Pelodiscus sinensis: one gene and its partner. The protein of the gene in region 1 interacts with the protein of each later gene in a pairwise test. Links are inferred from orthologs where the notes say so. Each region holds a gene or a part of one and is shown in the gene's direction. Other genes may lie near its edges. The genes, in order: FKBP1B and RYR2.

The links.
Region 2: the proteins of FKBP1B (region 1) and RYR2 interact in binary tests that used the Homo sapiens proteins (3 or more experiments, as listed by UniProt). The link is inferred for Pelodiscus sinensis from reciprocal best matches to the Homo sapiens genes FKBP1B and RYR2.

Annotation. Positions count from the first base shown.
Region 1 is NC_134713.1:14,532,897-14,549,522, reverse strand, and holds the start of FKBP1B (peptidyl-prolyl cis-trans isomerase FKBP1B), read left to right. Parts: upstream 1-8,647; 5' UTR 8,648-8,845; coding exon 8,846-8,882; intron 8,883-16,626. Other genes in the region: WDCP (WD repeat and coiled-coil-containing protein), read right to left, coding at 1-598. UniProt on the Homo sapiens protein: Has the potential to contribute to the immunosuppressive and toxic effects of FK506 and rapamycin. PPIases accelerate the folding of proteins. It catalyzes the cis-trans isomerization of proline imidic peptide bonds in oligopeptides.
Region 2 is NC_134713.1:127,594,506-127,610,874, forward strand, and holds the start of RYR2 (ryanodine receptor 2), read left to right. Parts: upstream 1-8,324; 5' UTR 8,325-8,545; intron 8,546-8,662; 5' UTR 8,663-8,881; coding exon 8,882-8,929; intron 8,930-16,369. UniProt on the Homo sapiens protein: Cytosolic calcium-activated calcium channel that mediates the release of Ca(2+) from the sarcoplasmic reticulum into the cytosol and thereby plays a key role in triggering cardiac muscle contraction. Aberrant channel activation can lead to cardiac arrhythmia.

The DNA of each region.
Region 1 (16,626 bases):
ATACTGGGCAAAAGAAGCAAGCATTTAAAGTTTTCTGAGCATCATCCCATATGTAGGAATGAAGGGCACTGCCTATAGCAACCACTAAGCGATTACCATCCTTAGTCCAGCAAGCACAATGGATGAGACCACTGCTTTTGATATCCGCCTTAACCCTGGAGTGATCAGAACGAACAGCATGTAAAACTGAGGCATCGCGTTTAGTAAGCACAGCCAAAATATCCTTCTTTGGATGCCACACGCAGCCCTGGGGAAGCATTGGAAACGGCTCACCAATTTCACAGGTCTGGGAAACCAGGAGCTTTTTCTTTTCTGAAATATTACAGCTGAGCTGCCAAACAGTGACATGTTTTTTATGCTGGATAGCAAGCAGAGCTGGTGTGTCTACAGCACAACATGGGCCCCAGCAAAGCCCACGAACATGTTCAAACTGACCAATTACACTCGAGTCACCAAACTTGAGTTCTCCATGATAAAAATGTAAAGCAGTCAGTGCTACTTGCTTCCCATCTGTCCAGGCAATCCCATGCACAGGATGTATGGCCTGATACAAGGCATTAAGGCCAGTTCTCAGAAGTTTTGCTTTTCCCAGTTCCATCTTTTTAAACTTCCTGCCTAGAGATGATAGTGCCAAAATAAAAAATCCACAGGATTCATTTGAGCATCTTGATAAGGAAAATGAGTCCCTCGTAACTGACTTGTTTCTCTGTAGGTGAATCAAGCTGATTTTTTCCCTAATGAGCAAGGAGCTTGAAATGCCAACTTCTTCACACTGTGATTCTCCAGCTGCTCTTCTAAGTATAAATCCATGTGAAAAGCTGCTTTTACTATGCTTTTTCCTGGGAGGAGTTATACTCGTCATGTGATGTCTAAGAAGGTTTAGCTAATTACTGTATGCTTCACTCACATTTTCTCAGGAGCCTATTTTTAACTCTTAGATGCTGGGTGTATATTTAAAAATAACACTCTAATACCTTGACCTTCTGTGAACGAAGATCTCCTTCAATGAATGGAGGAAACAGATTCTACACTGTTAAGCCTTGGCAGTAAGCTACAGTATGAAATAATTGCCTGATATTTCTTTACAGACTTTGAAGGAAAGAGTAAGGGCCAGATTCCAATCTCAGATTCCAGTCCAATTTCAAAGATTCCTAAGGGGCTATAGCAGGGGAAGTAGGAGAGAGAAATCCTATTCAATGGTTATATGTAATGTACAAGACAGGGAGGCAAAATATAACCAACATAAACTAGAAGCAAGGACACCTGGTCTATTTGGGCCTTGTCTACTCTGAAAGATCAAGTTGAATTTATTAAAGTCACATCTCTACACTGAACTAATACAAAATCCTTTTGCAGTGACCCTCCCACAAGTGTTTCTGTGGGAAGGAGTAATATGGGTAAAAAAGTGTCTGTGCCTAAGGTAATACCCATTTAATGTGCAGTATCTTTGACTGCATGAGGTTTGCATGAGTTTTCAGAGGTTAAATTGGACACTAGAGCAGGGATAGGCAAAAGCCTGTCAGCAGGCCGGATCCGGCCTGTGTAGCTCTTTCATCCAGCCAGTGCAGCAGTTCCTGGCCCAGCCCCTAACACGCTTCCTGGGAGCCGGGATGCTCCAGCACTTTCAACTGCTTCTATTTCAAGGGCTCTTGCCTTCCCCGCGGCTGCCAGGAAATAGAAGCAATTGAAAGGGTTCACAGCTCCCATGCCTCTAGCGTGTTGCCTGGGAGCCGGGTCATGCTAGCTCTTTCAACTGCATCTATTTAAAGGGCTCACGCCTTCCCCGCAGTTGTCAGGCAACAGTCGCAGGGAAGGAGTGAGCCCTTTACATAGTAGCAGTCGAAATGGCTCTCATGTCCGCAGCTACCAGGCAACGTGCTAGCAGCAAGGGGCTGGGAGCAGCATGCTCTTTAAATAGCAGGAATTAAAAGGGCTCACAGCTCCTGCCCCCGCTAAAGTGATGCCTGGGAGCCGCAGGGGAGGTTCAAGCCCTTTCAACTCCTGCTATTTAAAGGCCCCGCCCCTTGCACCCAAAGCCCCGCCCATTCCAGGGCAGCTGCAACTGCTTCAAAATTTTTGAAGCATCCCCCCCCTTCACAAATTATTGCCCACCCCTGCTCTAGAAGGTGCCTGAACAGCTGTGTGCATACAGTAGAATTGAAAATGATAAAGGACAAATAATTGAAAAGGCAACAGAGTTTAAAGCAAATGCATTTCTTAGTTTATGCCAAGTTCTATATTCATGCAGTGTATAACTGAAAGTATGACACAGTGCAGTGCAACCCATCCTAGTTTCCTTTTTCAGCAAGGAAAATAAAAAGCAGAAGTAAAGAGACAATTTCTCCTAATTTATTCTGTGTACATTTCTATAACTAGAACAAGTGTTTAATTTTTTTTATGTGAATATGGCATGCATTGATCTCTACAGGACACATACAACATAGACTTGTAATTTGGAATGGTCATGGTAGCACCATAGATTTTCTTTAAATTCTGCATTCTTGCAGCAGCAACCTTAATAAGCAGTTGCTAAGTTAAGGCCACTCTAGTGTAATACAAAATGTGAAGACGACTGTCCAGCTCTTGCATGAATATCGAGCCAGATTCTGGTCTCATTAATACCATTGTAACTTCTCATTTACATTGGTGTAACTGTGATCAGAACATAACCCCTTATTTAGAACATGTTTTGAATTCCACTAACTCAGCAGGTTTATTATCTCATACAATGCTGTGCACTGTAAACCCACCCTTATGAAATACCGAGTACCTTACCCATTCAATGACAGTATCGCATAGGATTAGACTTCATTTCTTTATTTACTCATGGTGAAACAGAGAATAAAGCAATAAATCTTTGTTGGCCAAATCCTGCTCCAAACTTATTAAATGAAGAATAAATCTCCCATTGACTTCAACAGGAGCAGGAACCAGTCCCATCTGGAATATAAGCTTAACAATAACAGATTCTCCAATGTTAACCTAAATGTATAAAATGGCTAATACAATGTGATATTTTTAATTTCCAAATATACTACTTTTGAAAGCAACCCACTTCATTTTAAATAATTGTAGTTGATGTGTCATTTATTGAAATAAAGTTAAGAATCTTGAGTAGCTTTCTTTAATGCTTGCATTTCTATGCCTTTCAGAAAGTGTCTATCTTTAAAAATAGCCTGGCTGTCATAATCTCACTGAAACAGAGTGTGAAAGTGATGCACAATTAATAAAGATACATAATAAGTAACCTGTCAGAGCAGATCTACTGGTAACAATATGTACATCATATCCCTTTAAGGGTTATTTCTCTTTGCAATTATTGCTCTCTTGACTAGACCTCACCCACCTTGCTGACAGGAAGATTTTGTGTGTGGATAGCAAATTAGAGTGAAACTTATTGCCATTTTAAAAAATGAAAGTGTTTCTTTTGTTTTCTCTTACTTTCAAATGTTACATAACTGTGGGGTTTCCCTATCCAGGTTATATCTATCTGAAGGAACATATACTCCAAGTTAAAACTCAGTTCCCTTCCAGCTTTTCTCTCAGATAGGAGATGCAATATGTTTCTTCCTGGAAATTTTTTAGAGTGGTGGCTTCAACCCATTTCCCAACCTTTACTTCCCTGCAATCTCAGGAAAGCCACCAGCAACAAAGAATGTCAGCACAGAGGTTTTTCCGTCATACCTCTTGCTCTTTGCTACACAAAGACAGTATGGCTCTGGCAGGAAACAGGCTGTCAGCAGCTCCCTGGGCCATTCCTGTTGTGTGCGGTTCTGTGTATGGAGGGAAATTCTGCACAAGTTATAGTAGGACAATTCCACAACTGTGCAAGAACCTGCCAGTCCACCTACACTCTCCATAGCCAACCTGTAGAGGCAGAACATCATGGAGTACCTGAAGGGATCTCCACAGGACTGGGGAGAAGAGGACTAAGCCATAGAGAAGGTACTTCTTTTCCCACACCCAGCAGTGAACCTGGGCTCAGACTCTCTGGCTATGTCTACAAAGCATGGTTCCCCCTTTACTAACTTCTTCCCAACCAGGGATTGCCCTATCCAATCACTCTCCCAACTAAAGCTATGTCTAGACTACTCTGCTGCATACAGGGAACGCATCTGCTCTTTTTTTTTTTTTTTTTTTTTTGGAAGAGCAGATGTGCTTTTTTGGAGGCCCTGTCTTCCTCCTTCCACGAGGAAGAAGAGCTTTTCCAAAAGAGGAGTGTAGATGGGTCATATTTCGAAAAAGCCTCTTCTGAAAAACTGTGTGTACCTTTTTCTGATAGATCATTGTAGTCTAGACATAGCCTAACAGACCCCCATTCATTTCCTCCCTCACCATATATCATTCCCCAGCCCTCCCTCTTGGAAACACCAAGCAAATTGTCCAATGAGTACTCCATACTTTCCTTTGACAATAAAACTTCTCCACCCATCACAGGAAGGAACATTTGCTGAGGGTGATCTGTATTCAGACGTGGAATAGTCTCTTAAGGCATATGGTGGGATTCTACTGCTTGGAACAGTTAAAATTGGACTGGGCAGAGGCCTACTAGGAAACATATTTTGGGAAGAATCCTGTTTTGGCAAAGAAAGAGGTTTGAATGATCTAATGGATCTTCTCCTTCTCTGACTCATCATTCATTGGCCAAATTATTCCTGATTTTAGTGATTGACTCTCACTTAGGTTGTTATTAATAAAAAAAAATTCTAACTTTTTGTTGGCTTTGAGTAAGAATGGAAATTTACTTACTGTGAAGTCATTGAACACACCACATTATCAAATAATTAGAGGCATTTTGCATTGCTAAATGTTCTTTGTTACAGTTTTCACGCTCAGTTAGATCACTCTCATTTGAAAATCCATTGTGACTTGTAAAAGAGAGAAGAGGTTAATGACATTTCTAGCAGAATAATTATACCGTTTTGATGACAAACAGTTACTGAACTTTCTAAACATCACTTAGACAACCTTGTCTTCACTGTAACCATTTACATTTGGAAAATTATTTACTGTTAGCAGGGTGCATGCACAAATTTAAATTTTACTGCTTTTGGAGGGCACATTTTGTGGCCCCTTGGCAATCCCAGGGCTGGAGGAGCTATCAGGTCCCACTTTGGCTATGGGGCCATATGATCTTGCTCTCCCCACCATGGCCCTGGGGCCAGAAAAGTTCTGTGCTCCCACTGATTATTAGAGGATCCACACTCCTGCTTGTCCCCCTTCTGCACACCTAATTGTTGGCAAGGCGTGTCAGACACTGGGACATGACCAAGTAGGTGTTGAAAACAGTTTGGCTGATAGTGCAGATAGGACAAAACCCATTATAGAAATTGAGGAAGATGGCAAGTTCCATCAGGAATGAAGAAGATGTTTTGTCTCTGTCTGTTCTAGCAGTTAAACCATATTCAATACTGGCTGAGAACTGTCTGAGGAATCCAGGATCCATTTTCAACCAGTCATTTTCCCAGTGTAGTGAATAGAAGAGAAGGGTGTTTAAAATATGCTTTGGTTTCTGTAGCAAGTGATGACCAAACCTGAGATTCTGTGTACAGTTTTAGGGAAATCTTCCACCACTGTATGGGTATTTTCTCTCTGGTGTTAGCAATAGTGGGAGTAATCATGTAGCCTGGATGCCTGTATTTTTGCCATTATTCCATTTAGACTTGCTCCATGCATGGCAAATGATATTAAAAATGGCCAATCTATTCTCATACTTCTGCTGTCATCGATAGAGCCATTGATAGAGCCATCATCCCACTGATACAGCAATAGTAAGAGATTTTTCAGATAAATCTCAGTATAGATACATTCTGACTATATTTTGCTGCATAGGACTGTGACTTTGGGAAATGTGGATATCATTCATTTTCCCTTTTAACTTTCAGGCTCCGTTCCACAGAGGGATCATACTATTAATACTGAAATACTGCTGTAAGTTAGTGCACATAATTTTTTTTAGTAGAGCACACTGAAAAAGCATCATCACACTGCATCATGTACTTGGGCTGGTGCGGCGCAGTGCACAATGGATATGCGAAACTGTCGTGGGTTGGAGTGGCCACCCACTGATCCGAAGGGAGAAAACGCCCCTCCCTGAGCCATGGTGGGCTCACTTGGATGACTCACCTTGGAGGAAGCCGAGGTTGGGGCCAGGGATATAAAAGGCCTTCCCGCAAGGCCAGTTGGGGACCTGCCAGCGAGGGAGTCAGAAGCCTTCTCTCTCCAGCCAGCAAGGGAGCCAGAGGCCTGCTCGTCCCAGACAGCTGGGGAGCCAGAAGCCTGCTTAGCTCAACCCAACCCAGCAAGGAACCGGACCTGGGGAAAGCATATGGCTGGCCAGGGCCACCGGGCGCCCTCCTGGAGGATTACCTGGAGGGCCTGCGTATCTGGCTGGAGGACTCCAACCCGTGCTGTCCTGAAGACCTGCCCCAACTAAAGGTACCATATGGGGGAGGGGACAAACAGAGCCGGCCCAGGGATAGCCAACCGTGGTCTGGCTGAAGGTCAGCAGGCTGCGGCGTGGACCCCCGCTGACCCTGACATAACAGGTCAGTGTGTTTTGGGCCGGGATCCCTGCTGACCCAGCAGCTGACTGCTTGACTGCTGTTAGGGCTCTGGGCTGGGACGCACTGGTGCAGGGAGAGCCCGCGTCCCCCTTACCACTGCTTGATTGGGTGGCAGTCTCCCCTCCTGCGGTTGGCAGCCCTAGGCAAGGTGCCTGAACCCCTCCTGAACAAGGAGGCAGACTACTTACCAGCACCTACTGGTTGTGAACCGGTGGGATTGCTTTGTGTGAAGCCCTTGCCCTGCCCAAGGGCTGGGCCTCTAGCCATTTAATTGTTGCCTGTTTAACTGTGCTAGCCTCCCCTGTGTTTGGGCTGGCTTCCTAACTGGTTAATGACTGTAGACCCGCCCTGCACTAGGGCCAGAGACTGCTTGGCTATAGCAGTGTCGCCCTGGACCAGGACCGGGCTACAGACTACTAGATTGCTGCAGCCCTGCCTTGCCCTGCCCTTGGGTGGGCCCATAAACTGCAAGAGCAGTAGCTCCGCTTAGAACTGGGGCTCAGACTGGAACTGTGGGTAGTGGGTTGGAGTAGCCACCCACTGACCCTGAGGGGGACACCCCTCATTATCTGGGGCGTACCCCACCGGGCTACAGAAACCATGAATACTGAATCCTCAAATAGCGAGGGCTCCTTGTAATACCTATAGGCAACATCAGAACCCCTATGGAAATATTATTGACCCTTGGGGACTGTTTTGACAGATATATACCGATTAAGATAAACTACAAAGACAGATGTCAAATGTCAGACCTGTACAGACTGGACGCAGAGGGACACACTTCCTCCTATTAAAAAACAAAAAAGATCAGACCATTTCCCACAACCAAAGAGAATTGTCAGCAAAATTATTCCCTAAGGCTACGTCTGCACAGCAGACTTCTTGCGCAAGAGCACGTCCACACCTCAAAGCTCATCACAAAAGTGATGGATGCTCCATGGACACTCTTGTGCAAGAAAGCTCTGATGGCCACTCAGAGAATGGCCATCAGAGCACCTGTGCTTTTTCCCATAGGGGTTTCTGGCGCCAGTTATTTTGCGCAATAGCCATAGCACAAAAGGGAGTTATGCCTCATAGAAGGAGGTTTACCTACACCGGCAAAAGTCCTCTGTTCTGCCATTTTACTGCTGATTTACTTGAGCAAAAATGCATTTGAGGTGTGGACGCTCCGCAGGTTTTTGTGCAAAATCAGCCATTTTTGCACAAAAACCTCGCAGTGTAGACATAGCCTAAGAGTTGATGGAAATAGATTCATACAGATTCTCGTAGGAGGAAAGACGTTTGAGACACAAATATCTGAAATATGTGTGTCTTACACTGTATTACAACTTTTAATCCAACATGATGGGAACAATTAACCATTAAAAGCAGCTTTTCTTTAATTAATTAATTAATAGATATTGTAGTGCATATTTCGCCCCCCCCCCCCCCCCCAACAAGGAAGTATAAACACTTCTACGGCATGCAGCCTAGAGATGTGGGAAGCATCATTCCAATCTAGCCTTTGTGCTGTAAGGATTCCAGGCCTTGCTCTCCCTGTCGCTCCCCCTGTCTCCAGAAGCCCCTGGGCACATGTGGCACATCTCACAAGCATAACTGATGGAGTTGGGAGCAGCTCAAACTCCACCGCCCGTGAGAGGACACAGAAGTGAATTAGAAGCAGTGGGCAGTGGGGACACAATGGTGACACAGACGCTCATTAGCAGGAAGAGAGCTGGCGCTTGTTGTACCACACACCAAAACTGGGTCTGGTACCACTGGACTGGGGACTACTGAGCTGGTATCAGCTGCCTTGAAGGAAGCAATGCATCCTTCTGGACAGCCCGCATAGCTTACTCCCCAGCACATAGGGATGCAATTTCTGCAAAGCTATTGAAGGAGCATATGCGGTGTGAGGAAGCAGCAAGCCCTTGCTGGGAGGGAATAGCACTGAAGTGCCAAATCCTTAAATGTTTCCAGCAGCAGCAAATCCCAGCGAACTACAGCCTGAGAGGCCTGCCCCTCCTCCCCCAACTCCCAGCCCTGGGAGGGACCGGCCTTTCCTGTGCAGCAGAGAAGGGGGATTGGGTGACAGCGTAGGGAGCTCCCCCCCCGTCCCAGCTTTTGCATTGGCTGGCAGCGTGTGACGGGCAGCTGCGGTGCTCCTTGTCAGTCAGCTCGGCAGGGGAATGCATGCAGCAGAGGGTCCGTGGCGTGGGGTAGTGCCCAGCTGAGCACAGAGGGTGGCCCAAGCAGCCGCGAGAATTGCTCGGTCTCTGCCGCAGACCAGCCGTGCAATAATGGGAGTGGAAATTGAGACCATCTCCCCTGGAGACGGTAGGGACCTGCTCGCTCTCGTGAGGGGTGCTGACCGGGGTGCTCGCCGCGGCACGCGGCGCGAGCCGGAGACAATGCAGACCCAGGGCGTCGGGGGGCGGGGAGGGGAGTCAAGGGGAGCGCGGGTGCCGCCGCCTGAGAGAAATGTGAGAGGAGGGAGTCCGGTTTTTCTGGGCACCAGAAGAGGAAGGAGTCTGGGGTCCTGCAGCCCCAGGGGCTCTGGACTCCAAAGATAATCAGAGACCAGATGAAGGGGAACCTAGGGTCCAGCAGCTGAAGAAGAAATCAAAGACTGCAGGGAAAGAAGGGTGTGTGTGGGGGTGACATTCCTAGGATGGGGGGCGGGAAGCCTGAGGGTCTGGTGGGGAAAGTCTCCTGGATCAGAAGCACACGAGGAAAGGGGACCAGGTTCTCTGGGATTCATAGGCTGCGGTGTCTGCTGCTCCTTTGGTGGCAGCAGCAGAGGTAGCGAATGGTTTGGGACATTTAAATGGCATTTGCTGACAGCTGCATAAATCCAAGTGCAGGGAAGTAATTTGGTAATGAGAGCAAATGATAGTCCAGAGCACACCCCCTTAAAATGTGAGCCTTAGCACTCAGCAGCTAAAGCAAGTTCACTTCCGAAGCGCATTCTGGACCAGACATTATTGGAGCAGTAGCAGCAAGACAGTTAATTTCTGTAGAGAGAGGGTGGAAATCAACATAATAAATGATTGCTGATTAGCGTGTGTGGCTGTGGCAAAAGCTGGCATTTAACACGCACGGTAACAAAGTTTCACAGATGTATTGCCAAATCGTTTCATGAACAGTAGGCCATTTATGTCAAGAATCATTTCACACGGAAGCAGCATTTTGACCGGATCAGCTATTTTCTCCCCCATTTTAAATGTTGTTATTGCACCTGTAACACTTGTAATGGCTCCAGATTAGTGAGTGTATTAATCTTTGATTTTTATGGGCTTGGTTTTTTCAAATCAAAATAATAGCTACTCTGCTTTGGTGTTAGAGCATCTTCCCCTAACTCTTGAAGACAGATGTCATTACCAGGGATCATAGTTTTTGTGATAAAACTCCCAGAAGTTCCTGATTTAAAAAAAAACCCATTACAATCCTTGTGATTTTTTTTTCTCTGTGATTAAAATAAAATGCTGAGCTTGAGTTTCCCCTGGGGTTCCACTAGACATGTTTTTATTTTTTTTCCACAAAATGTAAAAACTATAGATTCTCTGTAGAAACACAAATGTTGCATTTTCTCACATTGTTCTGTGGCAAACAGATTTCTGGGATCTTTGATCATTACTAATATAGAGCCATACGTATCTATGTTATGGCCCAAATTCATCCTTGGCTTAACTCTGTTGGACCAACATCATTTCCCACCCCTTGCCTATGTCTCTTAACTGTCTTCTCCCTCTACTGTTGTTTAGCTGTGTGGGTCAGATTCTGCTCTCACTTGTAGTGCTGTAAATTCAGAGTAACTCCACTGTTATTCTATCGTAAGTGTTAGTGAGGGCAGAATTTAGCCTTCTCATTTTCTTAATTATCTCTAGAATGTATTGGGATATGGTGCATAAGAAAGATGCTCTTTAAAATAAAGTTATAAATGTGATTTGGCCTGGTTGCAAAGCTTAATCCAATCCAATAGATTTAAATAGTGTAATTAAAACCAAAACCAGTAAGTTCTATTGCCATCAAATCCACTCAGAAGTTGATTTGTTATAGTGACTAGTTGAAGGTCTTAACATCATTGGGCCTAATTCAGCCTTGGTATAAGATAATGTGTCTCCATGGATTTGGTGGTATTACACCAATTTATGCCAGGGTGGAATATGAGCCACTGATGACTTGTATCATACTCTTTTTTATCTCTTTCCACATTGAATGATATGGATTGTATTTGCATCATATTTGGCGGTAGGGATGTGAAAGTAGTGCTTACTGAGCTCAGGGCCCCACAGTGCTAGGCTTTCTACAGACACACAGAGTATTTTTACACTGCAGCGTCAGCATAAGCCCAGGAGTAGTTGGATTTGAATTCACAGACCCTGGCTTTGAAAGCTCAGGGTTTGAGCATCCACACTCATCCGTGACTTTTAACTTAAAAATTTTTGACCCTGGGCCCCACACCAGGGCTCCAGTACCACCAAGACAACCTAAACCTCCAAGTGGAACCAATCATATCCCAGGCTACCTAGCACACTCCTCAAATGTGTCCACTCTCTGGCTGTCTGTGGCACATCATGGGAAAACTTGACTGTCCATCCGACTTATCACAGGAAGTTGTTGCAGCCCACCAACGCATTCTGCTGATCCATCTGTTTGGTCTACATGCTCCCAACAATCGGAACCAGGAACATGGAGTCATCATTGGAAGAACTTCTCTTGCTTGCTTTTGCTCCTGTTTCAGGAACTGGGGAGAGCTTTCATGAGATGCTGGGGGACATTTTGGTGGCATTTTCTGATCCACTGAAGTCACCTGACAGAGCTAATGATGGAAGAGGAGGATGATATAGACATGGAAAACTCAAACTAGCTGATGCACCTCATGACTTTTAGTATTTCTGCTCGTGCCCTCTGCATAGACCAGTAATTCTGGAGCAGGACCACAAGCACAGACTGATAGGATCACATTGTCATGCAACTTTGAATCATAGAACTAGAAGGGACCTTGCGAAGTCCTCGAATCCAGTCCCTTGTCCTCATGGCAGGACCAAGCACTGTCTAGATTAGAGACCATCCTTGATAGATGTTTATCTAACGTGCTCTTAAATATCTCCAGAGATGGAGATTCCACTACCTCCTTAAGCAGCTTATTCCAGTGTTTAACCACCCTGACAGTTAGGAAGCTTTTCCTAATGTTCAACCTAAACCTCACTTGCTGCAATTTAAGCCCATTGCTTCATGTCCTATGATCAGTGATTCAGGAGAATAATTTTTCTCCCTCCTCCTTACAACATCCTTGTAGATTCTTGAAAGCTGCTATCATGTTTCCTCTCAGTCTTCTCTTTTCCAGACTGAAGAAACCCATTTATTTCAGTCTTCCATTATACATCATGTTTTCTAGACCTTTAATAATTTTTGTTGCACTTCTCTGGACCCTCTCCAGTTTCTCCACATCTTTCCAGAAATGTGGTACCCAAAACTGGACACAATACTCCAGTTAAGGCCTAATCAGCACAGGCTGAGTCTACACAGCAGTGTTATTTTGGAATAACATCATAGTCCGCATCCACACAGCAAGCGATTATTTAGACATAATGTCGAGCTGGAGGACTTCTTACTCCGACTCCTGTAACCCTAATTTTACGAGGAATAAGGGAAGGCAGAGGAAGAGTACTCTTTCCTGGACTTCCTGCTGTGTAGACAGTGCCAAAAACTAAAATTAGCTATTTCGACTTAAGCTACACAGTTGACGAATCTTATTTCGGCTTTATGCGTGCTGTGTAGACATGCCCACAGAGCAGAGGGGAAGAATGACTTGTCTTGCTCGCAACACTTCTGTTAATGCATCCCAGAATGATGTTTGCTTTTTTGCAATAGTTGACACGCTGTTGATTCATATTTAGCTTGAGTCTCACTATGCCCCCATATCTCTTTCTGCAGTACTTCTTCCTAGACAATCATTTCCCATTTTGTGCATATGAAACTGATTGTTCTTTCCTATGTGGAATACTTTGCATTTGTCCTTATTAAACTTTATCCTATTTACCTCAGACCATTTCTCAAATTTGTCCAGATCATTTTGAATTATAATCCTATCGTCCAAAGTACTTGCAACTGCTTCCAGCTTGGTATTATCTGCAGACTTTAAAAGTGTACTCTCTATGCCATCATCTAAATGGTTGATGAAGATATTGAACTGAACTGGTCCCAAAACTGACCCTTGTGGAATTCCGCACCATTTCCTGGTGAGTCAGTTGCCTGCTGGGAGAAAGTTCTTTCATTTTCCTTCCTTCCTTCCTTCCTTCCTTCCTTCCTTCCTTCCTTCCTTCCTTCCTTCCTTCCTTCCTTCATCCGCGTCAGTTTTTTTTTAAATATGCATTTAGTATGTCTTTGTAGGATTGCCTCTGACCAATGCAGGATTTCTGACTATACATCAGGTGAGAGTAGAGGGCTTGTTTTGGGAGGCGAGAATGTGGCATGCACATACAATGTCCAGCCCAGCAGAACTGGTGTATAAGGATCATTCCTTCAATGCAGGTGACAAGGTTTCAGTGAGCATGCTGGCTTTAATGCATCAATCTTCCCATGTGATGCAAAGGGTTTTCCGCTGGTTGGTATTCTACCTTCATGGACAGGCTGTGACACAATTCCCACCAAATGGTATTGTCATAAATGGAATTACTGTTGCTATTCTGGGGAAAACCTGCATACCCCATCTTCACCCTGATCTGTGAAACCAGATACTGACTTGAGGGCCTGTCAAAAGTAAGTTTCATAACGCTCTCAGCAGATATACAAACAATGGTGGTTGAATGTATATTTGGCTAATTGAAATCCTGCTGGCCTTGTCTAAAAATTCCAGTGTCTACATCAGCAATGGGCAACCTAGGCTAGTGAGTGGATTGCATGAGTGGCCCTCCATCTCAGCCACACAAGGCTGTCGTAACCAAGATGGTTTTCCGGGATAGGGTAGTTTTGCTAACTGCACTTGCATACCTAGATTTTGCAGCGTGTGACAATTGAATCATAGCAGCGCTTTGATTGGATGTAGAGGGAACACACGGCTCTTATAGTCAATGTTGTGTGCAATCCACACACACCTTACTTCACATGCCCTTTCTTTACATGCGTGTCACTTTAATCATACCGGTAGAAAAAAATATGCTCATGGGCTGCACTGGTCTTCATCATTGTGCCTTGCTAGGCTCTTCACAGTCTTTGTGAAGCCAAAGGGGAGCCATTTGCCCCTGCTGACTGGAATGTACTGCTGAACTGGTACACATCACCAGAAAGTGCCTGATCTCACACCTGGAACAAGGTCACTGAAATCCATAGATGGTCTGTGCTCCCGCATAAAGACTTGGCTGGACCAATGGAAGAGGGAGAACAGGACATTTATGATTGTTTTTGTACAGCAATGTTTACAGTAAATGAGGTACTGTCACATCAGGGAAAAGAAATGGGGGTGCACTGTAACTGTACACAGTAAACAGGAGTAGTATTGATGATCATGAACATTTATCTTGGATGATGTGACTGTTAATGTAATGTGTGGTGAGAGACCGTGCATTTACTATTCATTGCTGTACATAACGATATGGAGAAACTATGTTTGGCTACAACTTTTGCCCTACCCTGTGTTTATCTTTATTATTCAAAATACACATTAGAAGATGTGATGGATAAGCGCTATAAACTTTCCTAATAAAATACAAGCCCTTATTTGTAAGATACAAATAGCAATATTAGAGCATTGCCAGGCAGGCCTGTATACCAAAACAACAGTAATAAACCAACACCACAACCAAGTAATAAAACAAGTGCATCCATCAAACACTGAACAGTGCAAACAGGACCCTCAAAAAATTCCCTAATTTTGCGAGTTAACTGGCATGTTCTTTCCCTTTCTTGTGCATTTAGCTTGCACTTTTCACCGGTGCATGGCTGTGGAGGCCTGCAAGGTATGGCAGACTGCAAGGGGAAGGGTTTCATTTTAGGGTTATAGATTTGCACTGTCTAGCTGCTGTTAAGTCCCAGGTGCGTGGGCTGCACAATCATGGAATTGTCCAAGCACTCGTATGCAGTTCATGGTACTGTGGACTGGACTCAGGCCTTGGTATAGGCGCCTGCAATCTTGTGGCTGTTGGTGAAAGCAGCCACTCAAACAGGTTTTTCTGCTGTGCTCTGTCATCCTTCTTCAGCTGATGTTCCTGTTCCTGCAAGTGTTTGCTCCTATGCTGCAATTCTGTCTGGAGCATGTATACCACTGAAGTATGCAAACTTTGGTGACTCAACAGCACATCTCTGAGTGGAGTGGCTGGCCAGCTACCGAGGTGACCCTGGAAAATACATAATTCTTGAAAATATAACTGCTTATCTGGAGTGTCTGCTATGGGGAAAGTTTGCAGCTGTCAGCACCTGGGATTGGGGCAGAATTTGTGGGGATCATCAGGATGCTTCATTAGGGTCTGCCTGGAGTCTGCTTTCTCATAGCTACTGACTGCTGGGCTGTGTCTACACTGCACCCCTTTTCCGGAAAAGGGATGCAGATTAGACACTTTGGAATAGGCAAATCCGCAGGGGATTTAAATATCCCCCGCGGCATTTGCATTACCATGGCTGCCGCTTTTTTCCGGCTTGGGGATAAGCCGGAGAAAAGCGCCAGTCTAGACGGGATTCTCCGGAAAATAAGCCCTTTTCTGGAGGATCTCTTATTCCTACTTTCAAGGAAGGAATAGGAGATCCTCCGGAAAAGGGCTTATTTTCCGGAGAATCCCGTCTAGACTGGCGCTTTTCTCCGGCTTATCCTCAAGCCGGAAAAAAGCGGCAGCCATGTTAATGCAAATGCCGCGGGGGATATTTAAATCCCCCACGGATTTTACTATTCCGATATGCTACATTAGCATCCCTTTTCCGGAAGGGATGCCAGTGTAGACACAGCCCTGGTCTTCAGGACAGGAGTGCTATCTTGAGTCTCAAGATCATCTCATCTGAAGAAGTGGGTTTTGCCCATGAAAACTCATGATACTATATATTTTGTTAGTCTCGGAGGGGACGTCTATACAGCAGCTTTATTTCACAATAACTTGACGTTATTCCGAAATAACAAAGTGTGCATCTACACAGCAAGCCATTATTTCAAAATAATGTTGAGCTGGAGGACTTCTTACTCCTACTCCTGTAACCCTCATTTTATGAGGAGTAAGGGAAGTTGGAGGAAGAGGCTCTTCCTAGGACTTCCTGCGGTTTAGACAGCGCCAAAAGCCAAAATAAGTTATTTGGACTTATACTGTGCAATTGACATAGCTGAAGTTGCATAGCTTAATTTGACTTTAGTCCTGCTGTGTAGATGTACCCTTAGGGGCCACAGGACTACCCGTTGTTTTTTAAAAGTTGTTCTTAAAATTACAGACTAACATGACTACCCCTCTGGGACAGAGGAGAAGGTTCAGCGAAGTTAAAGCTGATTATAATTAAGGCTAAGATTAGTCACAGCTATTTTTGGTAAAAGCCACGGACAGGCCATGGGCAATAAATACAAATTCCCAGGCCATGACCAGTTCCAGATTTTTACCCCAAAATACTCCTGATTCAATCTCTACTTCGGGAGCCCCACTTCTCGAGAGGGTCCCTGCTGGGTGGATCCCTGCTCCAGTGCTGTGGGATGACTGTCCCCTGGCTGCTCTTCTGGAGACTGCTTTCCAGATAGCTGTGGGGCACCCCTGAGGTCACTGCTCCAGCTGTCCCGGAACTGCTGCTGCTCAGGCAGTCCTTAGGATACCCCAGGACTGCTGCATGGACGTGCCCCTGAGTCAACTACACCAGCCATTGTTCTGGTAGTCCCCACAGCCAGCTTCCTGGGGCCACCCAAACAGCAGCCTGGTGTGGCTGGCCCCAGGGTGGCCACTGGGACCACTGCGCAGGTGCTCCCTGGTGCCGCCCCCGTGACTGCTCATTGGGCAGTGCCCAGTCCAGCTGCATGGGCTGCTGCTCACATGGTTCCCAGAGCCAGCTGCCTCCTGAACACTGGCTGCTTTGGGGACCACTGGAACAACTGGCTCCAGGTTGCTCAGTGGCAGCT
Region 2 (16,369 bases), about 110 Mb from region 1:
CCCCATGTCTTCCAAAAAAACCAAAACACTTGCCCCCTACTGGATGAGGTAGGGCATTTAAACTAGTACTTACATGCCTTGGAAATGTATGTGAGCATTAAGAAATGAGCATTAGCTGTAACTGAGAGGTTCAGAAATGTCAACTCCTCTTACCTTAATTTGTTCATAAACAGGGCCAGGAGCATTAGGTAATGGGTTTTACTGTAACCAGATAATTAATATTCATTGGATAGACTTGTTTTCCTCATTATTTATGGATGGCAGTTGTAAAGCTAGGTAGCCCGGGTCTTTTATGTAAGGCTCCTGTCATTTAGTGTGTGTGTGTGTGTTTCCAGTTGTAGACCTATATTGGTGTGTGGCTGAGAGAATGTGAAATTATACTTCCAAAGTGGTTTTAAATAGTCTTTGAAAACCAGGCTCTATACACTGAGGTTTTATTTTACACCAGAGGCTATGACACTTGGAAAGGATTGGAAGAGGGGGCACAAGGGGAAGAAGAAGAAGTTGGGGGCTATCCTCCCCAGGCGGCCAGGTCACTAGCTTTCCATTGGTACATTGCACTGTATTTTTCTGTAACATCTCCTATTGGCATAACATTTGCAGTAATCGTAGGGTTTATTGGCATAAGTCACCCACTCATGTCAAGTCGCCTTAAGACAGTAATCAAATGTGGCTAAACTGAAATTTTACAGGCCCTAGCCTGCAGTCCAGGAGTTATGGCTTTACATTTGATATATGTAATACGTATTTGTTGTTCTTATTTCATTGTCCTAATTATACCCCTAGGATATGTCTAGACTACATGCCTCTGCCAACGGAGGTAAGTAAATTAGACATACCAACATAGTTCAATGAAGCGGGGATTTTAATATCCCCCATTAGAATAAAAATGGCCGCCGCGTTGTACCGGCTCAGCTGTTAGTCAGCACAAACCGGCAGTCAAGACGGGGATCGGTCAACAAGGAAAGCCTTTGCCGACCGATCCCTTATGCCTCATGAAACGAGGTTTACAGGATCTGTCGGCAAAGGCTTTCCTCGTCGACCGATCCCCGTCTTGACAGCCAGTTTGTGCCGACAAACAGCTGAGCCGGCAGAAGGCAGCGGCCATTTTTATTCTAATGAAGCAGGGGATATTAAAATCCCCACTTCATTGACTATGTCGGTATGTCTAATTTACATGCCTCCGTCGGCAGAGGTATGTAGTCTAGACATACCCCTAGGCTGTGTTTACACTGCACCCCTCTTCCGGAAAAGGGATGCAGATTAGACAAGTCGGAATTGCAAATGCAGCGGGGGATTTAAATATCCCCTTATTCCTCTTAAATATTCCTCTTAAAATCAGGAATAAGGGACCTTTCAGAAAAGGCTTTATTTTCCGAAAGATCCCGTCTAGACTGGCGCTTTTCTCCGGCAAAGCCCTGAGCCGGAAAAAAGCGGCAGCCATCTTCATGCAAATGCAGCGGGGGATATTTAAATCCCTCGCTGCATTTGCAATTCCGACTTGTCTAATCTGCATCCCTTTTCCGGAAAAGGGATGCAGTGTAGACACAGCCTGTGTCTACACTGGGCCACTTATTCCGGAAAATCAGCCGCTTTTCTGGAATAAGCTGCGAGCTGTCTACACTGGCCCTTGAATTTCCGGAAAAGCAACGATGCTCTACTGTACAAAATCAGCTGCTATTCCGGAAAAACTATTCTGCTCCCGCTCGGGTATAAGTCCTTATTCCGGAACACTGTTCCGGAAAAGGGCCAGTGTAGACAGCCCAGTAGTCTTTTCCAGAAAAGCGCGTCTACATTGGCCACAGACGCTTTTCTGGAAAAAGGGCTTTTCCGGAAAAGCAGCCTGCCAATGTAGACACTCCTTTTCCGGAAAAACTGAAAACGTTTTAAGCAGTTCCGGAATTTCATGCCAGTGTAGACACAGCCCATGTGTCCATCTTCATTTCACCAGTCTGTCCACATCAATTGCAGAGTTTCACACCCTGCCCCAGGTACAATCAACATTGTAGCTCGCAAGGCAAGGATCCCTCTATCCCACTGCCACACATAGTACAACACACAATACTTGATGTTGTTTCCTGTTATTAGATGTAGAGCAGTGAGCTATGAGTGTATTTTCTATCTTAATTCCATACTACTTTGCTTTTGGGTGAGTTAACCTCTGAGTCCCCATATAAAAAGAAAAGAACCTCACTCTACATTTTATTGTAAAGATAACATAGTAAAATACATATACTTGTGTGTATGTATTGTACACCTGGAGCCTTGCACCTGTACACATAACATTTAAACAGTGGTATAATATTATTATACAATGCTTTATAACTAAACAAATGCTTTATAACTAAACAAATACAATGCTTCACTAACTAAACAAAATGCAATACATTATTAACTCTGACTGGGTAAACAGGTCAGAGTTTTGGCTTTTGGCTCTGGGTATCTAATCATCCCTAGTCTAATCCAAAATGAAATCCTATTTTAAATGTTTGGAAATGAATTTTTTCCCCTCATTCCCTAGTCACCAATTTTCCATAGGTACAAAACAGCCAGGGTCTGATTGTGATCTTAGTGGCACAGATTTTACACTCCATTGACTTCAGAGGAGATACTTCTTATTTGTAATGATTTAAGTGAGCAGAGAAACAACCCCTCACTGTCTTACACAATTCAACTTAACTGGTTCTCTGCTCAGGATTTATCAGAACTGTTGTCAGTCAGTCAGCTGTGAGATATGTTGACAACACAGTGTGAGAAGGTTTGGACTGTGTCTATTTGTATGGTCCCATGGTGATTGATTCCTTCCTTCTAAGACTATGAAAAATTAATACAGGTGTAAACACACATATAACTAAAAAGAACAAATCAGGTACCCATTGTAACATAAGCATTTTTCAGGCTTGTATTAGTTTCAGTAGTAAGGATGATAGGACAAGAAGCAATGGGCTTAACTTATAGCAAGGGAGGTTTAGGTTGGGCATTAGGAAAAACTTCCTAACTGTCAGGGTGGTTAAACACTGGAATAAATTGCCTAGGGAGGTTGTGGAATCTCCATCACTGGAGACATGTTTATTTAAATCCGCGGGGGATATTTAAATCCCCCGCGGATTTCCCTATCCTGACTTACCTGATTTGCATGGCTTTTCCGGAAATTGTGGCCAGTGTAGACGTAGCCTATGTGTGTGTGTTTGGCTGCATCAGGATTATTTATAGATAATCTTATAACCCCACCCTAGAGTTATTTTACCATTTTGGGGGGAGAAAATGAAAATATTTATATTTTATTGGGTGAATATAGTAGATTATTCCAGTAGAGACAGGAATAAAGAAGAAAAAACTTGAGAACATATTTTCGGATGTACTGTCAACAGGGTCGGCACAATGCCTATGGCCAATAGTGTAGGTAGAAACTTTGGTGGCTCCTCTGCACTGGGACATTTGTTTTAGAGAGATCTACATCGCTATACACGCATTCAAAAGACTTATGTTAATACAACATTAAGGTTATAAAATCATATGTTCAAAATCCTATAAATGAAAGTGTTATGGTTCTGATAGTAAAGTTAACTTGGCCACATTGCACATTTAACAACATATACAAATGGTATGTTGGGCTTCCATCCACACTGATGCATCTCAACAGACACCACTACCTGGGTGCTGTGGTCTTGGCTGTTTAGCACACAAAACAGCTGCTGTTTGGAGCACGGGCCTGTTTTTCAAGTGTTGGCATACTGAGGGCTATCTATAGTTCTGCTGCCTCAGGATATATCTACACTGTGGAAATATTCCTCGTCTTTGGAACAAGCCCATTATTTCGAAATAGAACAGGCTCGTTATTCTGACGACCCTGTAAATCTCATTCCACGAGGATTAAGGGATGTTTCAGAATAGCAGTTTATTTCGTAATTTGGCACTATTCCAAAATTAACTCAAAATAAAGTACACAATTTGTGTAGCTTAAATTGTGTAGCTTATTTTGAGCTAAGGGTACAGTGTAGACACACCCCCAGTGTATCAAGGTACCAGCATCAGGAAGTATTTCATACACTGTTGCTCCTTTTCTTGCTCAAGTTGTAGAAGAGGGGGGCAGAACAGTAGAAGTCTTGCAGCTGAATTGCTTCAGGAGTAAAGGCAGCAGCTCTGTTCCAGAGCCACTTTCTCCCTTCAGGAAACTTGCTGTGATTTGGAAAAGGAGAATTTCAGTTGGAGAGATCTGACTCCCTACCACATTTTCAGCTTTTCAATAATGATACACATTGTCGGATTTTAAGGTGCTACAGGACTACTTGTTATTTTTTAAGTTACCAACTAACACAGTTACCCCCCTGACGTGTATTAATGTTGGTGATGCATGTTAATGTCTGAATGTAAGAGGAGAATAGGATGGCACGGTATTGACTGGGAACGTTGGGAGAAAGAGAGAGAAAATGTTGTAGAAAGGGTGATAATAGAAAACACCAACAACAGGGCTATAAAGGGCCAGTTGAGGGCCATGGGTCATGTATGAGGTGGCAAAATCAGTTTTGAGGCAGGACATGGGGAAAGTGCTGTTGTGGAGATGGTCTAGTATGAGGAATAGAGCTGTATATAGCAGATTTCAAATCCTCCACTCTGATAGCTATCCGTGTTGGTAGCTGTCAGCATTGACGTAGACTAGAGCTGGTCAGGAAATTACTTTTTCTAAGAAACATGTTTACTAAAAGGAATTTATTTCTTCCCCACATTTGTTGAATTTTGTTTAATCTTTCGGATTTTTGTTAAAAAACCCAAACAAATCTCCCGCCCCCCCAAACTCCCAGCAACTCCAAAATCCAAAACTGATATTTTTTTCTGTTTTTTTTTCTTTAAGAAACAAAAACTGCTTGGAGGTGCTAAAAAGAAAAAAAATGTTATTCTGGTTTTTAGTTTTTCAGTTTAAATTCCATTTTTTAACAACTGTATTTTCAAGTAAAATTTATATCTTTTGTTAGCAGAATGTTTTCCACAAAATAATGTTTTGTTGAAAACTTGACAGCTGTAGCGACAGTGGAGAAATATAATCAAACAAACAAACTTTTTAAAAAGCCATCCCCATAAGCATTAAAAGTCAGAAACCTCACTACTTAACTCCTCACTCCAACTGACAGCCAGGAGTTTGCTTTTGCTACATCACCTCATCTTCAGCCGCCATCTATAAATAGCATTGCCATTCTTTTGATTTTATCACCACTAATGGGCTTTTTGGGCTTCTGCTGGAGCCAGTCTGGGGATGACAAGAGTAATTCCAGCCTTCACAGATCTTTTAGCTCTTGCCAGACACTTTTCTGGCTCTTCCACACTTTTCTTCTGGCTGCTTTTCCCTCTTCTCTGCCACCTAGGGCCGAGCACCCAATTAGAATGCTGGATTATCTGTAACTTGAAGTCTTTAAATCAAGATTTGAGGACCTCAGTAACTCAGCTAGAAGTTATGGGCCTATTATACGAATGGGTAGCAGAGGTTGTGTGGCCTGTAATCTGGGGGAAGGCAGACCAGATGCTGCTGCTGATCTTTTCTGGCCTGAAAGCCTATGAGTCTGAGGGCTACTTCAGGAGACACATAGAGCTCTCTTCCCCATAGCAGCCAACAGAAGTTTTAGGGTAGAGGGAGCAGCTAACATTGTACTTACAGGACAGAAGTGAAGCTAATTCCCTTCATGCCTGGAAGAGGGGGACAAAGAACAGCTGGAACTGCTTCCCCTCCAGCCGCTACCCCACTGCCAGGTCTGTGATGGGGATGGCAATTTGTGAAGAGCCTCTGGAGCTGCTCCTCACAAACCCCAGAATGAAGACCCTTAACAGCAGTAGGAGAAACACAGATGTGTGGGTGTGTTCTAGCTCTCTCTATAAAAGGTAGCCATGACACCACCCACAAATGTAATTTACTGACAAAGTTTGATATTGTGTGTGTTCTTTTCTATTATCTCACCAAAACAACATAGACTGCAGACATGACAGTAAGGGTACATCTAAACTACATCCCTTTTTTGATAAAAGGATGTAAGTTAGATGTATCGAAATTGTAAATGAAGCCGGGATTTGAATTTCCCATGCTTCATTTACATAATGGCGGCTGCGGCTTTTTTTTCGAAAAGCCACTTTTTGAAAAAACCCCGAGGTCAAGACGGGAATCGTTTGACAGAACTGCCCCATTTTGAAAAATCCTGTAACCCTTAACTTCTTAACAGTATGACAAGTTATTTCCACTTAGCAAATAATTCCCTCTTTTAATCAGCCAACTCATCAACAATTAACTGAAACCTTACACATTAATCTTCAACACAACACCAGTGCAACATTCTGAACAACTTGAAACCACACATTTCTAAACATAATACTCATTTGGAGTCAAAGGTTGCAAATTTTGTGCATTGGTAATGAGAGAAGGGCTGTATGTGCGAGAGATGGCAGGTAATATGGAGAAGACAAAACAATGATGGTGGAGAATGTTAGTGATTTCTGGCTTTTATATGTTTGTGGTGTTGGTATGCTTTATGCACTTAAGCAAGCTTAATACATTTTTGTGTTGACTGCATTTGTTATACATATGGAGCAATGTGCTCTCCCTCATATTTGTGAGTGTATGTGCACATTGCTGCTTGATGAATGTCAAAATGATGTATTTTCAATTATAGTTAATCTCTCCCACAGTTCATGAGCTATTCAGAAAAATCTTTTTGTTAGCTACTTTGTACATTTCCTAATGATGTTTTGCTGGAAATTATACAAAACTTATCAGCCTTTTGATGATTTTGCGAACTGTTTATATAATTTCCATGTTTTCTTTTAATGCTCTTATTACATGTACAGTAGTGCAGCACTTGCCTCAAAGGCTCACCATAAACGATGCAAAGGAAGGTATATTATATATATATTACAATGTACTACAGCCGCTCCCCGACTTACGGCCACCTCCACTTACAACCATCCGCATTTACGACCAAAGTGGTCGTAAATGCGGATCCGAGTTACGAATGGCGATCCGCGCTTACAAACAGTGCAGTTGCCATGTAACTTCTATGGGGGCTGAGTTACAAACAGTTCGAGTTACGGACCAAGTCTTGGTCCGTAACTCGTTCGTAACTCGGAGAGCGGCTGTATATGGCCCCCAATCATGGAACTATTTACGCATGAAGGGAACTTTACAAATATGAGTAGTCCCCGAGTTCAATATGGCTGTTTATATATATAGTTGGAGAATTGGGGTGCTAGACAAGGGCTCAAATTACAATATAGATAAAACAGAAGACCTAGTTACAGCATGGTTAAAGATTTGTAGTAAAGAAATCTAATCATATTCTTATCATTGGTCTAAAGTGTGTTTAAATATCATTTAAATTCAATGCACATGCAGTAAGTGTGATTTGGAAAAACTCATTGGAATCACAATGCACCTTTGTTAAATAAGGTGTATTTTAGACCATCTTAAACTTTCCAAAACAACAAATAGTCTAGTAGCACCTTAAAGACTAATAAAACATGAAGACGGTATCATGAGCTTTCATAGGCACAAGATGTGGGTTGCTCCCATGAAAGCTCATGATACAGCTAAGTATTTTGTTAGTCTTTAAGATGCTACTAGACTATTCGTTGTTTTCTAAATTTTTCTTTTTACAGCCTAACTCAGCTACCCCTCTGAAGCTTTTAAACTTTCCAGTTATTTTGTAGGTAGCGCTGTTTATAATATTTTGATAGATTATTTTAAACGTTTTCAATCATAGGGAAATATTTCTTTTGCTATTTTCCCATTTTAACAGCTAAGGAATTTTTAATTGTAATTATAAAAATCAGTGTCTATTGTAGATGAAGACTAAAACAGCATCCTGGAAGGTGAAAGTTTCTAAAAGTTATGTAACCGCTGAAAACAGGTTAGAATGGAAACTCTCCACTATGGTGGTCACTAATCCTACAACACCTAATGTACACACACAAAGCATTCTCCCTTGTTGTGCATATGCTGTGTGTTCAGAAGTAAATATGTAAATCTAGTGTAAATAGCGACGAGGAGTCCTGTGGCACCTTATAGACTAACTGAAGTGTAGGAGCATAAGCTTTCGTGGGCAAAGACCCACTTCGTCAGATGCATGCTCCTACACTTCAGTTAGTCTATAAGGTGCCACAGGACTCCTCCTCGCTTTTGCGGATTCAGACTAACACGGCTACCCCTCTGATACTAGTGTAAATAAGCACCCACAGGTGCCTATGGCTTAACTCGCCATTCTTTCTGGGTGCTTCAGATTTGAGTGTGCAAGGTGAGACAGGTGGGGGCTAATTTTTTAGAGGGGTTGATCATTCACAGCTCCTCAGCACCTTTGCAAATCCGGTCCCTCGGGAGGGAGGTCTCAAGTTGGACACCTGCAGCTGGTGGCCATTTGAATATTTTACCCACCATCTCTTCCTGATTGTAGCATCCCCCTCAATGCCCGGTGTGTAACACGAGCACTGTGCCACGGTCGCAGCGGAGGGAGGCTGGGAGCGCAGCCACAGTCTGTCTGTCGAGTAGCCAGTAAGGGGCGCTGGGCCGCAGGTTTGCTTTGCAGAGGGAGCCGGCTGCAGATCACCTGCAGCAGCGGGGGAGCCGAGCAGCTCCGCCCCGCCCCCCTCCTACCCCCCAGCCCAGTGAATCACATCGCTCCTCTTCCAGGCACTGGCACGGAGGAGATTGGGCAGCGCCGTCAAGCTGCTGCAGCGAGCGAGCGAGCGACAGAGACCGGCACAGCGGGGCTGAGGCTGCGAGCCACGGGGCGCTCCCATTTCCCCCAGCCCGGCGCGGGGCCGCGCGCGAGCCTCTCCCTGAGCTTGCAGCCCCACGGGGGGCGCCTGCCACCGCCCCGGGCACCGCTGCGGGGCCAGAGGGGGAGCCATGGCCGAAGGGGGCGAGGGCGAGGACGAGATACAGTTCCTGCGGACTGTAAGCACCGCGCGCTCCTCTCCCTCCTCCCGCGGGGCCGGGGCTGCTTGGGGGCAGGAGCAGAGCTGTGTGGGGCGGGGGGAGCGTGCGCCTTGCACTAGCTCCAGGGGACCCCTGAGCCGTGCCGAGACATGGTGTCTGTGTGTGGGAGGGGGGGGGGGGGGTGCCTGGCGCGCGTGGGAAGGGCGGGGGAGTCTCTGGTGTGCCCGGGGGCGGGGAACGCCGGGGGGAGCTTGTGCCCTGTAGGCGTCTGAAGCGCGGGGTGGGCAACCCGCCGACGGGAGCGTGTGGCCGTGGTGATGGGGAAGCCCCCTGTCCCCGGCGGGAGTTGAGGGAGGGGGCTGGGAGAGCCTTGCCAGGAATTCCCCCTTTAGCCGCTCGCCAGCTCTCCCAGGCGCGCACACGCGCCGCGGCACAAAATCATAACGCCCCCTCCCCGCGCATCCAGGTGTGTGTGTGGGGGGGGGGGGGGGCGCTGAGGGCTAGCGCCGGGCAGCCGCTGCGCGGGGTCCATGGGGCTGGGAAGGAGAGAAGCGTTGGGGTCGGGCTGGGTGGCTGGCTGCTCCTGGCACGGTGCCTGCGTGGGAGTGCAAAGCCAAGGAGCAGCAATGGCTCTCGGTTGTGCGTTAGCAATGCAGTGACAATTAAAAGTAATGTGTGCGGCGGCTTTGGGTCGGCTGGGGTTACTCCACCATTGACCCGGGGGCAGGGCAATCTATTGCGAGGCGGACAGTCGGAGAACGAGCGGTACCAGGCAAGGCAGCATCACATGCTCGACAGTCACACAAGGAAAAAAACGGGTCTTTCGGAGATCCCCTTCCACCCTCTGATTTGGGCTGTACACTGCAGCTACTAACCCAGCAGCAATGCTTAGCCTCAAAGCTGCAATTGAAGTGCCTATTGCAAAAACAACATGAAAACCTAATAAAACAAGAATATCTCCTGTTCTCTCTCCCCCACCCCCAGAACCTCACAACTGTAGGCATTATGGCTGAAAATGAATTAGTACTTACATCCTTTTACAAACATCTTTTTTTATTTCCTCTGCTTTTTCAATGCAGAACATTTTGAAGTGCCAAAGCTTTTCTCCTCTCAGTTTGGCTCTGTATTAAGAGTGCCAATTATGCTCATTTTGAACTATTTCTAGTCAGTTACTGCCTTTATTTGCTTGACGCAAGTGTTGTTTTTACACACGGTTCTAGCAAGTTTTGCAAAAAGGTATTTTTGAATATTGCTATATACACAACTAGGTAGTTTTGAGAGCAATGTAGACTTTGGAGATGTGTAGACATTGAAACTGTATGGTGTAGCTTTAACTTCATTCTTCATTTTATTTAGAACAACCATATTTTGAAAACATTTTTATTTGTGACAAGTAATGAGAAAAAGGTGCGTAAAAAGGAGAAAAGCGTCATCTAGCTGGTATAAGGCAGAGCACATTTGTACTGTTTTGCAGCATTGTGTAAGACGGTTTAGAGATTTCTTTTATTGCATTGTTCGCTTTAAACTGGATTGCTGAAACAAATAATCTACTTTCAATATTTTTGAATCCATCAAAAGATCCAGTCCTGCCGAGAGTATAATTGTTAAGCAATGTTAAAAAAGGGAATATAAACTGTCAATTTTTTTCTTGTTAGTATTATGGCACATGTACTGCGGTCCTGGCAAATAGATTTTTATTGTGCATTTCTGCAGTCTCAGAAAGAAGATATGGCTTCACAATTTGTCTGTTGTTTCCTAGTGCTAAAATTAGTGCAAATATTTTGGTTGAGTTGTGCACTTACAGGTTTACTGAAGATTTAAATGTTAAGTTTAGCTCATGGAGATGGTGTTATCTGAAATGCTTAAAGGGGAAACTGAAGCAATGTGCATGTAATGTCATTCCATGTACATATAGGGTAATGTTAAAAACTACAGACTCTAACAGCAGCAGCTCATTATGTAAAAGACCACTTCTGATAAGGTGTGTCCTGCTGGTAATCAAGATCTCGCAATGCCAGCCTGGGATTATCCTTTAAAAATCCTTAGAATGTTGGTCTGTAATAAAATGACCTTGAAGAAGGTGGCAAATTGGAGTAGTGGAAAGTTTTTGTTGAAGGGATTTAGACATATAGGAAAAAAAGGGCTGTAGACACTTTATTTCTTTCTGAAATTTTGAATTTCCAGTCTTAAATTGTTTCTATATGGTGACTTGTCTTAAGCCTCCATCTACCCTTCCTCTCCCCTATACACCTGTGCTGGGAACATTACTCTGAGAAGAGATGGAAAATTTGTTTTCCAAACATTAAACAACTTTCACACAAATGTTGTCTTAGTTAATTGTTTGAAATTCAGGACTCATCTCCCCAAGCTCAATATGTCATATGTAATACTTTCTGCATGGCATTGATAAAATATTTAGTTTGTAAACTGATGATGAATGCAATTTCTGTATCTTTATTTTTAATCAATTAGTTATTGGTGGTAGAAGTGTGCATTGGTGGTTTGGTAGATAAAATGTATCATGAAGGACCTAATATGTGATGATGAGTAAGATACTTCCTATGTTCAGGTAAATTCTTGGAGAGAAAACTAAGTATATTTTTTCCATTAAAATTTGTTTGTCCCCTATATTGATCTTTATTTTTGTTTTTCCTTTCCAGTCTCTTCTACTTAGTGTAATTTCCCTGTTTTTCCTTGTTTGTTTGCTACCTTTTCGGACAAGATGGCTGCATGCATGGCTCCCTGCAAAATTGCTGCTGTTGTGGATTCTTGATTCCTTTTGAAACAAATCTGATACATCCCCTTTAAAGAGAAGGGTGTAACATTTTATTTCCTTATGATGCTGGAAGAACAATGCTAACATTACTTTAGGAATCCTTGAGATTTGGACTGGAATACTGCTTTTTTTATCATTAGGTTAGTCCTCAGGGAAATGTTTAGCCCTAAGAATTTCACCCCTTGGAATGGACAGTGTTCAGACTCATGATTTTGTTTAACATTCAATTTGGTGGTAATCTTATATTTTATAAATAATTTTCTGCCAGACCCAAGGTCTCTTTTTCTGGCTGCCTTCATTAAAATTGCATGCACGTGGGTGAGAGACTTGGGGGAGGGGGCATGTTTCCTTCATGAATTTAATAGGGGGAAAGCCCCACCTCTATTAATTCTTTTTCTTTTTAAGAAACAAAGGAGCATGCATAGTACAAAATAAATATTCACATGTCAGTCTTCATATTCAAAGAATTGTCTATTCTATAGCTGATAACATTTAGATTAAATTCTGGTAAAGAATTTCATGTTTAATTTACCTGAAATTAACTCAGTTTAGACTTCAAGGGAAGAAGAACAGGAAATCTTTTCATCAATCAATCTGACTCCTTCCATAATACAGACATGAAAAAGCCGATCCTGTTGTTAGAAACCTGAACTAGAGTTGTCAGTTTTGGTTGGACTTACTTTCTGGAGGCTTTATCATATGATATAAACTTTATTAAAAGATTAATCTTTAATTCCTGGAGACTTCAGAACAATCCTGGAGGGTTGACAAATTTAGCCTGGATTCTTTTAAAACTGTCATAGGTATAACTCTGTTCCATGGGTCTTCCCTATCTATGGAACTAATCTAGTCTTAATCTTTCAAGAAGGTGGTAGGTAACAATATCCTTTGTATGGGATAAAAATGCTTTTGGGCTTTCCAGCACCATCACCTCCTGAATTGGATTTAACCTGTGATGTAAACTGAGTTGAGGGGCAATCATATGTCTAAAGTATGTGGTAATTGTGTTGTGTTATAAATGTTTCCAAGGACCCTTCGCAAAAGTGGTAGGGATGACTTGGGTGGGTTGTCAATTTCTGTAGCTTTTTCTTAAGTTTGAGCTCGGTGGTTCTTTCAGAAATTCGTACATGGGACATAGTTATAACATATGGAAATTAAACCAACAGTACTGTAATCCCTCACAACGGGCTGCAAGGCAGCTAAAGTCAAGATGCTTGTAATGAGTATGATACCTAAAAGAAAAAGGTAACAACCTAAGTAACTCTCCTGTCTCCAGATCTAATGGAGTCATCTCTCTGGAGAATGGAATCTGTGCTTTCCACTTGGTATTCCACTCTTTACTTAGCCTTTCTTTGTTTTATTGCAAGGGTAATTAGCAGTTTGTTGCTTTAAAAAAATCTGTTCCTACTCATTTCCCACCTGAATTTATAGTTCTTCAGATTAGCTCTCAATCTGCCAGTGTCAGAGTGTAACAAAGGTCTTCAAAATATGGGAGACTGATTAAAAAGTACTTCAGCAGGAAGCGTGAACTTATGCAGGACTTATGTGAACTTTTTAAGCATGAATGAAGTTTATTACCTCTCTGGTCAAAATGTAATAACTTGTTGACATAGTGACAGTGAGAGACCACTGTGGAAAGGATTCAAGTTTGAGTCTAAAAGAGTGACATGCCTAATGACATTTGAGGGAGATAACACTCTGTATTTCAAAATCACATTGGCCTCTATTCAGGAAAGCATTCTTTTCCAGGACAGCACTTAAACATGTGCTTCACTTTAAATCTCATTTAAGTTATGTGCTGAAATGCTGTCCTGAGCTGAGGTACTCCACCGTAATCACAGTGGAAATGCATGGAAAATAAACAAAATGAACAGGTGAGATCTTCATCTAAATTATTCCAGATAATAAAAAGAAAAATAAACGTATGTTGAACTTCTACCTAGTGTGGAAAGCAATCGTACTGAATTATTTTTCTATCGTGCTTTTTATAGATCAGGTAACTTCAAGTGGCTTATGATAATGAATTAGATTTTGGCAGTTGCAGTGACTATGTATAAAATCACACCCATGAAGATACCCTCAGCAAATCTTTAAAAACCAGCCTTGTGTGTTTGAGGTAGTTTTACTGAGAGTACATTGACCAGAACACTCTTGTCAATTTTTAAAAGTACCATTTATGGCTCTCAGCATGTTATTTCTGGATATTCACTTGAGACTGATGCAAAGGACCACAGGTCAACATCTCATGAAAGGGACGGCATGGTTAGCATTGCAATGTATCCATCTTCCTCCTTCCAATACTGCACTATAGGGTTAACACTGAATATGGGCTCAAATTCTGATTTTGAATAGACTACTGTATATGTAGTGTACCACTTACGCAACAAATTTATCCCTCTTTTTTTGTGAACTATATGCACAAATACTTTAATTTTTTTAATAAACTGGTTCAAGTATTTGAATACTTGATATGAACATTAGAATTTTCTTACTGGATCCATCTAGTCCACTGCCCTATTTGTCAGAGTTGCCTTTATCGGCTGCTTCAAAAAGCGGTTCAAGAAAGTTGCTTTCCATCCTTCATCAGTCGGTTAACTAATGTCCTGAGGCAGGAGGATTTCTATTCCTTTTAATATCTAAATACATTTTAAGATTGGCCATGTATGGAGTTAATTGTTAGATGAAGGTGAGGATGCTCATAGGAGTTAAAGCTGCAGGATTTAAAAGAACTCTAATTTGTAAATTCAGATTAATGCAGTTTCAGTGCTACATCAGGTTCTGAGTTTCCCTACCAAACTGCGTGATTTTACACAGTCATATCACTTTTTAAAAAGTTGGTTTTCTCACCCTCTGTCACTGTAAGAAAGGTAAACACCAAGGTCCTGATACAGAAGACTGCTTTAGGTGCTTTTTTTGCATAAGGATAGACATAAGTGTTAGCTTAAGTGCTTTTCTGAATCAGGGCCAAAAAGGAGAAACTGACAATGTGGGGAAACATTGAAAATGACTGTACACAGTCACAAACTTCAGAGCGGTAGCTGAGTTAGTCTGTAACTGGAAAAACTTAAAAAACAGCGAATAGTCTAGCAGCACCTTAAAGACACAGTCATGTTAAACATACCAGTTAAATAAAGTACAGATTTTTTTTCTATAATTTTTCAGTTTTTAGGTGTTACTTGTTACAATAGCAGGTTAAACTCTCAGGCAAGAAAAGTAAGTTTGTGGTGTCCTTTTTTAACTGCATCTAAAATACAGCTTGACTTTCGTGAATTAATTATGTCACTTGGATTTGGTTTTGTGAGGGATGAATAAGAGTTTTAGGGGGTAGCATCTTTGCAGTCACTTAAAACTGAACCTTGTTATAATCTACTGTATCTTTGAGACAGTCTGTCTTGGTCTGTGAGTCTGTTCAAGAACTCCTCCTAAATCAGTGGTACACAACCTTTGTTTGAACCATGACCCCTGTGTTGCGTGGCCACCAACTGCCGGGCCCAGGCCCCGGCTGGCCAGATCTAAGCGCTGCATGGCCACCAAGGACCAGGCCCAGCCCCTGGCTGGCCGGATCCAAGTGCCGCGACCCCCTAGGAAGTTGCATACCACTGTCCTAAATGGTAAGAACCAAGACCACCAAATTTAGTATGCAGCTTTCTCTTATAACTTAGAGCAAGTTAAGGATTTGGTTGTTCCAGGATAATGGGATGTGGCTAGATGAGATTATTTCTCATGAAATGGGAAGAGAGGGGTTACTAGCAGAAATAGTTATTCTATGTAATGACCATGGGGAGGAACAAGGGGGCAGCAGGGAACAGGGGTGGAGAAAGGAACAGCTGTTCGCTATATATTTGAGAGCACTTGTCTGTCTGTCCCCCAGACAGAGTCTTGCACCCTTCCCCCAGCTATGCCTGCTGCTGCAGCCATGGACAGGCGCTTCTCACCTGGGCCCAAGTTGCTGCGATGACAGATGACCGGGGTTGTCCTCAGCTCTAGGGACAGTCTGCATATTGAACTGCTTGTTTCCAGCTCCACCCCAGAGTGACGATTTAAATGAAGAAAAACAAAAATTATTTCAGTTAAAGATCTGAGCAATGCTGGGTAAATCTTCTAGTTTCTAATAAAAATTGAGTGGCTGAAATTGGATTTTTTTTGGTCATTTGTGTTAATGGTTGAACAGTTTTTACTAAGCTTTACTAATGAAATTTCTAATGAAATGTATGGGAAGATTTCAGATTTGCCTTGATGTGACTTAGTCTCAGTTTGGCTGTCTGGAGATGAAAAGGTCTGTAGTGCTCTTCCTGCCCTATGTGCAGTTGTACAAGTCTACATTTTAGATTCCATATTTGCATATACATCCAGATGTCTCTCCACTTCACTCAGCAAATATTTAATAACAGATGCTGTAAGGAGGTCTCATTGTGAAGATCCATTCACTTTCACAAAAATACACCACAGTATATTTATTAATCTATTATGAGGTTTTGACATAAATCGTTAACACTAACCTACACTTGTCAAATGAACAAAATACATGTGATATCATGTTTGTTTTGCTTACAAATTTGTAGACTACATTAATTTGCAAAGGGCCTCATAGTCAGCAAGGTTTAGACGTTCTATTATATGTATCAAGGGTAAAATCCTGGCAAAATTGTCAGGTTGAAATGCTGTCTCTGCTGAAGTCTAAA